3 linked regions of the Notamacropus eugenii genome follow. The protein of the gene in region 2 purifies or fractionates together with the protein of the main gene of each other region. This does not show direct contact. Links are inferred from orthologs where the notes say so. Each region holds a gene or a part of one and is shown on either strand. Other genes may lie near its edges.

Region 1 (3,817 bases), on a different chromosome or scaffold from region 2:
GAAAGGGTAACTTAACGAATCCAGAAGGAGAGCCAAGGCACAAAAACCACCTCTCCTCCAAGCCTGGCAGAGGCAGCGCAGGACCCTGGGCCTGAGGACCTCTGGCACAGCTGGCATGTACCACCTCCAGCTGGTGTTAGTTTGGCTTCTAGGCCAGTCCACCATCACAAGGGGGGGAGCGGACCGGACAGCTGCCTCTGTGGGTGCTGCCACCCTGCCTCTTCTGAAGACCCAGAAAAGAAGGTGCATGCCACCCACAGGCCTTGGCATCTTTACTTCAAACACAGAAGCTCGGTGACACAGGGGGGATGCAGGCCTTACACTGAAGCTGAAGTCTGACAGCAGGAAGGGCAGACAGACTGCCGGACACACAGGTCTGGAGGCCGTCACACCAAGAGGGCTGGCCACTCAGCAGGACAGCTCGGCCATGGCCCCCCGGGGCTTCTCCAGCGGGTGAGTGACCTGCTCTGGCCCGGCGCTCCAGCCTCTGAGCCACTACCTGCAGCCTTCCCCCCCTCCAGACTGCCAGAGAGTGCCAGCAGAGGGCCCTCGGGCTGCCAGTGTCTTCTCTTCACCCCGGTGTTCCAGGCTCACCGTCCTGTGCACACACCGTGTGACTTTCCATTCCTCTTTTGTTCACACTCGTTTTCAGTTCTTCAGAGTTGCCTCAGTTTCCCCCTCCGTAAAACAGAACTGAACAACCCCCACCTTAGAGAGGAAGGCCTTAACGAGGCCTGCCGGTCTCCAGGCCGGCCATCAACGTCAGTTATGGCTCTCAGGGGTAGGACTGCCGGCCCACCCCCCCGGGGGCCCCCGTGCCACGCGCACTGACCCGGGGGGAGGGGAGGGGTCCGAAGCGTCAACAGAACACCCGGGAGGTCGCAGGAAGTACCTACCTGGCCGGCTCCCGTCTTTGGGGGGCTTCCACCCGCGGGCCCGTCTATCCTAGCAACCACCGGAACACGCAGTCCCCCGAGAGCCCTTCGCGGGCACGTTTCTCCTCCCGACCGGTACTTTACAGACGGCCCCTCAGCCCAGACGTCGCCTACGTCCGGCAGGCGCAAGGGCAGTCGGGAGAACCATCGAGTGGCACAGAAGGCCCAGAGCGTCACCACCTCGGCTCCGCGCGGCCTAGCGTCTGGCCGAGACTCCTTCCTCCTCCCTTCCCCCCGCCCTTTCCCTAAGACGCGCGCCTGCCCAGCCGGGACCGACGCTCTAGGAACTGGCTCTCCCCGCTCCCTGTTCTCCCGGAAGAAGATTAAGCGCGAGGAGCGGGAGGAGGGGAGGGGAGAGAGAAGGCGGCGGAAGTTCGCTCCGCGGCCTTGTTGGGCCGCTCCCTTGGGCTCTCCCGCTTCAGGCTCCCTCACACGCGACGCCTCCCGCCCGGCCTCCCGAGACCCTGACGGGACGTCCTCGGGACGGTGGAGACGGGAGGTGCCCTCTTTCCCCTCCCCCAGCCTCCACGCCCGCCTCGCTCGCGCGAGCTCTAGCGTGCGTGTGCGTCAGCGCCGCAGGCCGGCCCGCAGCTCCCCGCGCCGCCTCGCCACCCCCTCCCCTCGCCGCTTCCGCCCTTTCCCGCTGCCGTGAAGCGAAAGGCGCGGGTTTCCCGCGATCTCCGGCGGCCGCGGAGGCGGAGGGGCGCGCGGCGGGCAGGATGTCGCGGCGGCGGCACAGCGACGAGAACGACGGTAAGTGAGCGGGCGGCGGCGGCCCGGGCCGGGCGGGCGGCCGGGAGGTCGGGCCGGGCGCGGGGCTGCGGAGCCGGCCCGCTCCCGGGATCCCGCTGCAGGCCTCTGGTCCGGGAGCCCCGGCTTCCAGCGCGGCCTCCGCCGCTCCCAGCCGTGACGTAGGGCCGCTGGGGCCTCAGTGTCCCCGTCTGTAAGTGGGCGTGATAACTTAGGATGTACTCAGCATTGTTGTGAAGATCAAGGGCGAATATACGTAAAGCCTTTGTAAGTAGTAAAGTCTTGTGCTAACGTTAGCCATTATTGATAAACGCAGATCTATCCGAGACCCCCCGGGGTTCACGCCCCGTCACCTCCCAGCACTGGCTGCCCGAGCCAGGACCTCGGTCCGCATCAGGAGATGGAGCAGGAGGGGCCTGTTTGACTTTCACCCACGTCTTGTTCTTATTTCGAGCATTAACCAAAAAATATGAAACTGGCATCACTCATTAGATGAAGGTTCTTCACCTTCTCGTGCGCGTCGTGGGCTCCTTCGGGGCCTGTGGACCTTTTTTCAGATAACGTCTTTGAGTGCATGAAGGAGGATTTCCGAGGAAACCAGTGATCTGAAAATGTGGTTATCGAAGGATTTAAAAGGACAACAGCATTACTGACTGGCTTTAAGAGCCCCTGCTGTGGACAGAGCTGTCTGTCTTCAGGGGCGTTCTCTTGTGGACACTTAGAAAGGATGGGCAACAGGTTCACCGTGTGACACCTATCATAGCTGCGCTCTTTAAACAGAATTCTGTAACTTTATTGGTAGTCTCTAGAGGGAAAGGACAAGACCCTGAGTGATTCTTCAGAGCAGGATTCCAAATTCATGTTCAGGGAAATACATATTATGGAGACTTGTTGAAGCTGCAGTAACATAACTAGGCAGGTATCAGAAGTTTCTCATAAAAATGTAAAAATCTCAGAAAATGTTCTATGTGACTGTAACAACAGTAATAGTATTAATCTAACAACTAAGATTTATTTTAAAATATGCATTTTGAAATGCAATATGATTCTGGAAGGGACTAGTGTTTTACATTTCATTTGTTTTGGTTCAGGTGAAAGAGCTAATAGCTTCGGATCCAGACAACCTGGGTTAAATCTGCTGCTTAATACCTTTGTCACATTTGGCAGTTCATCTTACTATGTAAAGTTAGGTGGCTGTGCCTGTGAATCTGAATATTTATTAAGGGTTGTTTCTTACCACACCTCCAGGATAAAGATCTGGTCTCAGAGTCTGGGAAGACCTGAGTTCAAATCCTGTGTGTGACTGGTATTGGTTTTGTGACTCTGGGTAAGTTGTGCCAGGCAACCTTCTAAGACTTTTAAAGTAGCTGAAATAATTACCTGTTAGTTTTGGTTCAAGGAGAGAATTTTTGCTATTGGAATCTCCCTGCAGGGATGAAATCTTAGATCTGGATTTGATTGGTGCTAACTGTTGTGCTAGATGCCTAGAAGTAGAAAGATGAAGTATGATCATCTGATCTCCAACAGTTTAAAATCTTTTTTGCCATACCTTTCCTCTGTAGTGCTCTGAAATAAATATGTGATTGTTCTCTTTATCAGAGAGGTTGACAATGAACTTAGGTAACATTTTTTATTCATTTGAACTAGAGATCTTGTCAGAATGAGCAAATTTAGAGGTGATCTGCAAATCTGTATTTTGCTAAAGTCCATCTCCTTGGATTTTCAAAAGTTGTGTCAGTGGATGCCAGGCTTTATCGTACCCTGTCAAACTGGAAAGATTTTGAATGTAGTCCCAGAGATGAGGACAAGCATAGGTAAATGAGGAGTCACTCAGGTTGAGCACTCCAATGATGATTTTTCTGGCTACAATTGATTGAAACTGTCTGCTAAGTATATTTATCCACTGAAGTATATTTCATGTCTTTTACAAGTAATTAAATACACTAAATATGTGGTTTTTAAAAAATATGTAACATGCACAGTAATTAAATTACATTGGCATAAGAGTAATCCCTATTTTTGTCTCTGGAGGGAACTTTAGTTTTTTACACCTTTTTCAAGTTGATACTTTTCACTACCACTTTTTTTTAAAAAAAGGAGATTCCCACAGAGATGTGAACATGAAAAAAATA
Region 2 (3,600 bases):
GAAAAACTGGAACAAGAGCACCTCCTTCACAGGACTGCTGTGATCGAGTTAGTCCAAAGTGGAGGACTTGGCCAACGTTAGTGATACATGAACGTCAGATAGCAGTATTACTCTTCACAGCCCAGCACCTAGCACAGAAAGGGCTCACAAAACGCAGCCCATGAGAAGCCTCCAGCCTGCCCTGCGGTCCTGGGAAGGCACACCGCATCTGGCCGTGAGCTTGGTCAGATCCGTGCTGGGTGAGAGCTGTGCCAAGCGTGGGCCTGGGCAGAGCGTGCCTGGGGGGCTTCGGAGGAATCCCTACTGTGCTCTTGCTTTTACTTGGAAATAAACCTCTTTGGGAAAGAAAAGGAGAGATCCTCCGTGTCTGCTGTCTCCACTAGGTGAGAACACTTTGATTGACTCCCACCATCCCCTGGGGCGTGAGGAAAGCCTGTGAAGTTCTGGAGCTCTGGAGGCCCTTATGCCCAGGACATCCGGGGCAGCCCAGGGAGGGAGAGCAGCTCTGCTGGAGTTCTGGGATCATCAGGGGATGCTTGGCTAGAGACCCAAGGACCAGGGGGCCTCTTTCCCCCAGGCTACCCCCTGGCAACGTTCTGGGGCCGCGACCCTGGGGGGCCTGGGGCTCTCCGGAGCTGGAGGTCCCGCAGAGAGCAGCCCGGCCCCGCCACGGGGCAGCCCGGGGCTCTGAAAGGGACCCCAGCTCCCTAACGCCCAGAGGGCGCCCTTGTGGTGTCCCAGGCTGCACAGGCTTTAGTTTCGTCGTTCCGGACGGATCGCGGCCCCGCCCTCCGGGGAACGTGACCCTTTCTTTCTGTAAAGCGGGGCTGGACTGTACTGGATGAGTGTGTCACGTGGAGGACTCTTTTCTTGGTGAAAGGACACTTCTGGTTGCGAAGAAAGGTGTGATTCACCCAGCTCGCGGAAGGCGGCGGTTGAGCGAGTACGAAAGAGGGCGAAGGAGAAAGCAGCAGGCGCATGCGCCCTGACAACGTTGGCCGGGACGGGGAAGGAAAAGGGCGAGCGGAGGACGATCGGCGCGTGCGCGCTGGACTCTTCCCCGGCAGCCCTCCCCGCCCCAGTCGATTCTGCGCGTGCGTACTGGTTCGCGGGCGCGCAAGGATCTCGGCGTGGCCCCGCCTCCCGTCGGCCCCGCGCTCGCGCCAAGTTCTCGCGAGACCCGCCTCCCTTGGTCGGTGCGTCTCTCATCGCCGGGCCGCGCTGGTGCCTGTGTGAGCCGTGACCGGACGGACGGGCAGAGTGACGGAGTGACGGAGCGAGCGCCCCGGAGCCGACAGCGCTGCCGGCCCCGCCGCCGCCCCCGGCCTCGGCCCCGACGCGCCACGAGGCCCCCGAGCTCCAGGAGGACGACGACGAGCCGCCGCCGCCGCTCTTGCTGCCGCCGCCCTCCCCGGGAGCCCCGCCCGGCCGAGGGGGCCGCCGCCGCCGCGCGGCCGGTAAGTGCAGTAGGCCGGCCTGGCGGCCGGGGCCCCGCTGGTTACCCACAACTCCCTGCGCCCGCCGGTACCCCCCCCCCCTTACCCACAACTCCCTGCGTCCTCCGGGGGCACCCCCCCCACCCGCACCATTCTGCACCCGCTTGTCCCCCCCTTACCCATAACTCCCTGCGGCCTCCGGGACCCCTCTCGCTACCCATACGTCTTTGCGCCAGCCGGTACATCCCGCACCTCCTTCACCCACAATGCCTCACGGCCGTCGGGGACCCTCCCCCTTGCCCCCTGAATCCTCTGGGACCCTCCCCTTGTACCCGGGGTGCCCTGTGCCCGTCGGGACTTCTGCCCAGACCCCCTCCTCACGGATCTCGGCCCGCCAGCCCCTTCCCCGCCCTCCTCACCCGCGTCCCCCTATGTCGCAGGAGCCCCCTCCTTTACCCAGAGCCCTTTGCGGCGCCGAGGCCCTGCTCTCACCCTCGTTGTCGTTGTTGCCCACGTTGGGCCCCCTAGAACCCCGGGAAAGCCCCTCGTGGGAGGTGGGCCCGGGGGGCCTGTCACTGAGGGTCCCTGCGTACCCCCGGAGGCTGGGCCCAGCGGGGAAGGGAGGTGGAGGCCAGGTGCCTTTGTCCCCCAGACTTGTGACCGCCATCTCCTCCCTCCAGACCCTGTACACCCGGCATCATGACGCAGTTCTTGCCTCCCAACCTCTTGGCCCTCTTTGCTCCTCGAGACCCGATCCCCTACCTGCCCCCCCTGGAAAAGCTGCCCCATGAGAAGCACCACAACCAGCCCTACTGCGGCATTGCCCCCTACATCCGGGAGTTTGAGGTGAGTACTCCCACCACCCCTTTCCAGGACTGGGCCCAGACCCAGGCAGCGGCAGGAATCCCCTTGGGGGCAGTCAGATCACTGGGTTCCTTTGGAAGAATTGGGCTCAGCTGGTCCATTCCAGCTCCGTGGGCATCAGCAGGCTGGGTGCTTCCGTTGTGGAGTGAGGGGGCTCGGCCCCTTCTGGTAGTGATGTTTGGAAGATCTGAGGGAATGCCTCAAGTTTACGCCGAGGAGTTTTGTAGGACTGGCAAAGGGCAGAGGATGGGCAGAGAGCTGGGTGCCAGGGAGGCTGACTTCTCTTCACTGCTGTGGAATGTGACCAGAGGGATGGTTAGCAAACAGCTGAGACCCCTGAGTTTGCTTTTGCTGAGGACAGACAAGAAAACCCCTCTTCCCTTTGTTACAGCCTTAAGAATGTGGCGGTTTAGAGAGTGCTGTAGGTCTAGTTCACTTAGATTTCAGCAGAGCATTTGGTGAGAGTCTCTTCTGTAATTCTCCTGCTAAAGGTGGCACGAGGTGCTCTTGAAATGAATGCACTTGTATGTGGTCAGCACTTGCTGAATACCAGCCCCCAAGGGTAGTGCAGAGGAATTCTTTTTGATCCTGGAAGGAGGCCTTCAGTAGGGGCCCCTTGGAGAGAATCTTCACCAGTGAGGGATTCAATCATTTCTGTTGGTGCATTGCTAACCATGTTTGCAGGTGACACAGAGCTAGGAGGTAGTGAATGTATTGGGTGACAGAATCAGGAACCAGAAAAAAAATCTTGATAAGCTAGACTATTGGGGCTGGCCAAAGTAAGATGAAATGTTGTGGAGGACAAGCACCAGGACTTGAATTGACTTTCATATGCACAAGATGAGAAGTAGGTGTTGTAGAAAACAGTCCAGAGCGAGGTGTTAGGTAACCACCCCCACCCCTGTGGAGCTCTGTGGCCTAGTCTTGGGGTCAGCCACTTAGGCAGGTGATTCAGGTCGCCTTGTCCTCTGCCCGAGTTCATGAGAAGTGAAGATTTAGGGAATGTGGTGGGTTTCTCCCGGCATATGAAGGACTCCCTCCCTCATGACAGAAGGGAGGGCAGAACCCCGAGCACTGGGTCAGAACAAAAGTAAGGCCTCTGGAGGCTCACCAGGGAGCAGAGGCTAGGCAGCCACTAGGGGTTGCTGTAGTTATGGGCATACTGATCACCGAGGTCCCTTACTAACAGTCACTAGGATTTCTAATGCACTTTAGGGTTGGCACACATCTTTACAAAATTTATCTCATTTGATTGTCACAACAACCCAGGGATGTAGGTGGTCTTATTATTCTGTTTGAC
Region 3 (3,817 bases), on a different chromosome or scaffold from region 2:
TATCTTTTGTGCAAGGTGACTTAATGTTTCTAATCGAACATTTATTAAGTGTTGGCTCTGACGAAGGCACTGCACTCGATGCAGCTTACATTCTACCAAGGGAAGGTGACATGCACTCATATTTGTGATCTCTTCAGGGTGGGAGTTCCTCCAGTGAGGGACATAGCTATTCATCTAGTCTTTCCTCATCCTGTGGGACTTTCATCAAAGTTCCCCCAAAAGTTTCCCACGAGTCCACCCGCCATGCTGGAAGGCTTCTTCAATTTCTCCCAACATCATGAAGGTACCATGGAGCACTCTAGTGTCTGTCATCCCTCGCTCTTGCCATGTGAGCAACCCCTGTTGTCTTACTGTCATAGAATTCCTTGAAGTCATTCATGCAATAAATATTTATGAGCTGCTGCTTTATGCCAAGAACAGTGCTAGGTACTGAAGATACAAAGAAAACAACAAATCCTAGGCCTTCGAGGAACTTACTTCCCACTGAATGAAAATACACACATATAGGCAAGGAAATACCAAAAAACTGAAGAGGGAAAGAATATTATAACTGAGGGGATCACCAAAGGTTCTGAATAGGGATTTATAGCTGAGCTGAGCCTTAAAGAAAACTAGGAATTTTAGATTTTAAGAGACAGAGATAAGGAGGGAATATGTTCCAGAATTGGAGGTACTGAGATGGGAAAATGTTGACTTTGGAGAGATATCAAGCAAGGCAGTTTGGCAAGGATACAAAATATGCGAAGGGAAGTCATATGAAATGTCTGAAAAGGTGAGTGAGAGTCAGACAACAAAGAGCTCTAAAGACTGGATTAAAGAGTTCACTTTATCTTAGAAGCAAAAGGGATCAACTGAACACTTTTGAACAGGGGAGTGATACAGTGTGGAAGATAGAATGAAAAAGGAAACCAATTAGGAAACTATTGAAATAGAGGGGTTGAGGACCTGGATGAAGACAGCTACAGTGAGAAGTGAAAAGGATAGAGTCGAGAGATGTTGTGTAGGTGAAATCAAGAAGACTTGGCAGCCAATAGGATACAGAAGCAAGGGAGACAGAGGGAACAGTCAAGGATGACTCAGGGTCTGAATCCTACATACTGCCACACAAGGCTTTGTGGATCTCCACAGTGCTCTTCCCCAAATTACTTTACATATAACACTGACATTTTAAGATATTTACTTAATCACATATATGTTTCCCTCCAAATAGGAAGTAAGCTCCTTGAGGGCAGAAGCTTGTTTTTTGTGTTTGTATCCCCAGTGCCTAGTGCTGTGTCTCTCCTATAGTAGGCATTTAATAAATGCTTGTTGAGTAAGTGATTTTCAGTGCCAGGAAGGATTTGCAGGAAGGGTGGATTTAGAGGGAAATAATATCTAGCACATTACACACACACACACACACACACACACACACACACACACACACACACACACACACACACACATACATACACATCACTTTAAGGTTGACAAAATGCTTCACATGCTACCTCATTGGATCCTCAAAAAGATCCTGTGAGATGGTTCTATTATTATTCCCACTTTACAGATGAGGGAATTGAGGAAGAGAGCAGGTAGGTGACTTGCCCAGGATCATCCAATAAGCAGGTTTCTGAATCAGGATTTGAATTCAGGTCCTCCTGAATCCAAGCCCCGTATTCTATTCATCAAGTCTCCTAGCTGCCTGCCACGATGAAAAACATGGTTAAGTTTTGTTTTGGAAATGCTGAGTCTGAGATAGGAAAGGGACAAGCAGGTGCTGATGTCCAGGATGCAGCTGGGGGTTCCAGGGCAGGGGTCTGGGTTGGATTTGGGATTCATCCGTGTAAAGATGATAACTGATCCTTTGGAAGCTATGGCGATCACAGTACAGACAGTATATATATATCTATGTATCTGTACAGAGAGTATATATCTATGTCTATATGTATCTCTCTCTATATCTATAGATAGATGGATGGATGGATGGATGAATTAGATGACGTAGGTAGATGATAGATATAGATACAGATATAGATAGACAGACAGACAGACATAGATACAAAGCTACAAACACGGTCTTTCAGGTGGGGGCCGGTCAAGGATTTGGCAGAGAACGGGAGGGGACGGCCCCCCGGGCATCCAACAATGGGGAGAGCCGCAGAGGCCCAGCGGGATGACTGAACCAAGGGCTCGGAGTCTCAGGTCCCTCAGCGTTTGCTCAGGGGCAGCTCGGCCCCCTTGGGGCGGACCCCACTCCCATCCCGGCTGCTCCTTGGCCACGTGTGAGGTTGGGCTGCTGGTGTTCCCTCCCAGCTCTGGGTTTTTTCCTTTTGAATGCCGGGCTGGAGGCGGGCGTTGTAGGCGGCCCCTCTCTTCCAGCTTCTGAGCTCGCAGCCTGCCTCCCACAACCGCCATCGTTCCTGCCTCAGTTTCCTCCCCTGTAAAATGCAGGTCACCGACCCCTCCCCCGGCTGCTGAGGATCCAAAGGCGCGCTTTCAGACCTTCAGATCGCCCTCTAAATGCTACCGGTTGTCATCATCATTATCATCAATACGATCGCCTCGGTGCCCTCATTAACCTCGGAGACACTTCCGGTCCTCCGTCTACACTCGCCGCGCTCACTCCTCCGCTCCCCCGCGGGGCTTGGGGGAAGGACATCCCTGGGCCCGCCAGTTTCGGGGGTCGGGGAGCTGCGGGGGGACAAAAGGCCGGGGAGAGGGAGCGGACGAGGCCAATACTGACCTGACGTACGGACCGCAGCACTGAAGCCAGCGCGGAGGCCGCCATGTTGCCGGACGCGGGATTCAAAGGTCCGCAACTTTATTGACACCGAAGGAGAGAGGAGCAGGCACGGGGAGGCGGGGCCTCGTGCGGGCCAGGGGGCGGGCCAGGGGGCGGGCCAGGGGGCGGGCCAGGGGCGGGGCAGGGAGAAGGAGAGCCCTGGGGAGCGTGCGCGAGGAGGATGCGCAGTGAGAGTGCTCGACTACGGCTCCGCCCCCGTGACGTCACCGCGCTTGCCCCTCTCTGGGTCGCGCTTCAGACCTAAGTGTTTAAAACGCAAGAGTGCAGGGGTGAAAGTAGGTGACGTCAGAAAAACCCAAAGGCGCCCAGCCCTCTGGTGGTCTGGCGGGCCGCCCCCTAGGTGCCAGGCGGCCAGGGACTAGGAGAAAGGGACAAACGTGTCCCTGCCCCGAGCGGGGGAGGGGGAGACCCCGTGCAGGTCACTGCAGTTAAGACACAAGCTGACTGGGCAGCCGGGGGTAAAGTGCGGGTCAAATGGGGAAGACAAGTCATGCCAGCGCGCCAGCCTCAGTTTCCTGCTCTGAAAATGGGGCCGATAATAGCAGTGCCCACCTCCCAGGGCAGGGACGACGCTCGGCAAACCTTAAAAGTGTAAAGGCTGGGGTTAGGGACCGGGCAGTGCCCCCGGGCTCCAAGGCTGGGGTTAGGGACCAGGGCAGTGCCCTCGGGCTCACATGCCAAGGCTGGAGTTAGGGACCGGGGCAGTGCCCTCGGGCTCACATGCCAAGGCTGGGGTTAGGGACCGGGGCAGTGCCCCTGGGCTCACATGCCCCTCTGTAACATGGAGGAAAACAGGACCGAATGAGACAAGACTTAGAAGTGCTCTGTGAGTGCTAACCCTCCTCCTCCTCCTCCTCCTCCTCCCCCTCCTCCCCCTCCTCCTCCTCCTCCTCCTCCTCCTCCTCCTCCTCCTTCTCCTCCTCCTCCTCCTCCTCCTCCTCCTCCTCCTCCTCCTCCCACAGTAAGCGGAAGGGCATCTGACAGCTACAGCTTTGGTTCTTTCCAAAACACTCGTTTAATCACAATCTGCTC

Evidence for each region.
Region 1: the proteins of SNRNP70 (region 2) and NCBP1 purify together in Homo sapiens (affinity purification with mass spectrometry; 3 studies listed by BioGRID and IntAct, counting the BioPlex papers as one, with this or other methods). This does not show direct contact. The link is inferred for Notamacropus eugenii from reciprocal best matches to the Homo sapiens genes SNRNP70 and NCBP1.
Region 3: the proteins of SNRNP70 (region 2) and MRPS14 purify together in Homo sapiens (affinity purification with mass spectrometry; 3 studies listed by BioGRID and IntAct, with this or other methods). This does not show direct contact. The link is inferred for Notamacropus eugenii from reciprocal best matches to the Homo sapiens genes SNRNP70 and MRPS14.

Annotation. Positions count from the first base shown.
Region 1 is NC_092874.1:314,404,496-314,408,312, reverse strand, and holds the start of NCBP1 (nuclear cap-binding protein subunit 1), read left to right. Parts: upstream 1-1,501; 5' UTR 1,502-1,654; coding exon 1,655-1,688; intron 1,689-3,817. Other genes in the region: TSTD2 (thiosulfate sulfurtransferase/rhodanese-like domain-containing protein 2), read right to left, coding at 611-625. UniProt on the Homo sapiens protein: Component of the cap-binding complex (CBC), which binds cotranscriptionally to the 5'-cap of pre-mRNAs and is involved in various processes such as pre-mRNA splicing, translation regulation, nonsense-mediated mRNA decay, RNA-mediated gene silencing (RNAi) by microRNAs (miRNAs) and mRNA export.
Region 2 is NC_092876.1:12,376,316-12,379,915, forward strand, and holds the start of SNRNP70 (U1 small nuclear ribonucleoprotein 70 kDa), read left to right. Parts: upstream 1-1,327; 5' UTR 1,328-1,457; intron 1,458-2,116; 5' UTR 2,117-2,135; coding exon 2,136-2,282; intron 2,283-3,600. UniProt on the Homo sapiens protein: Component of the spliceosomal U1 snRNP, which is essential for recognition of the pre-mRNA 5' splice-site and the subsequent assembly of the spliceosome. SNRNP70 binds to the loop I region of U1-snRNA.
Region 3 is NC_092873.1:471,548,159-471,551,975, reverse strand, and holds the start of MRPS14 (small ribosomal subunit protein uS14m), read right to left. Parts: upstream 2,875-3,817; 5' UTR 2,771-2,874; coding exon 2,726-2,770; intron 2,706-2,725; exon of another isoform or gene 2,485-2,705; intron 1-2,484.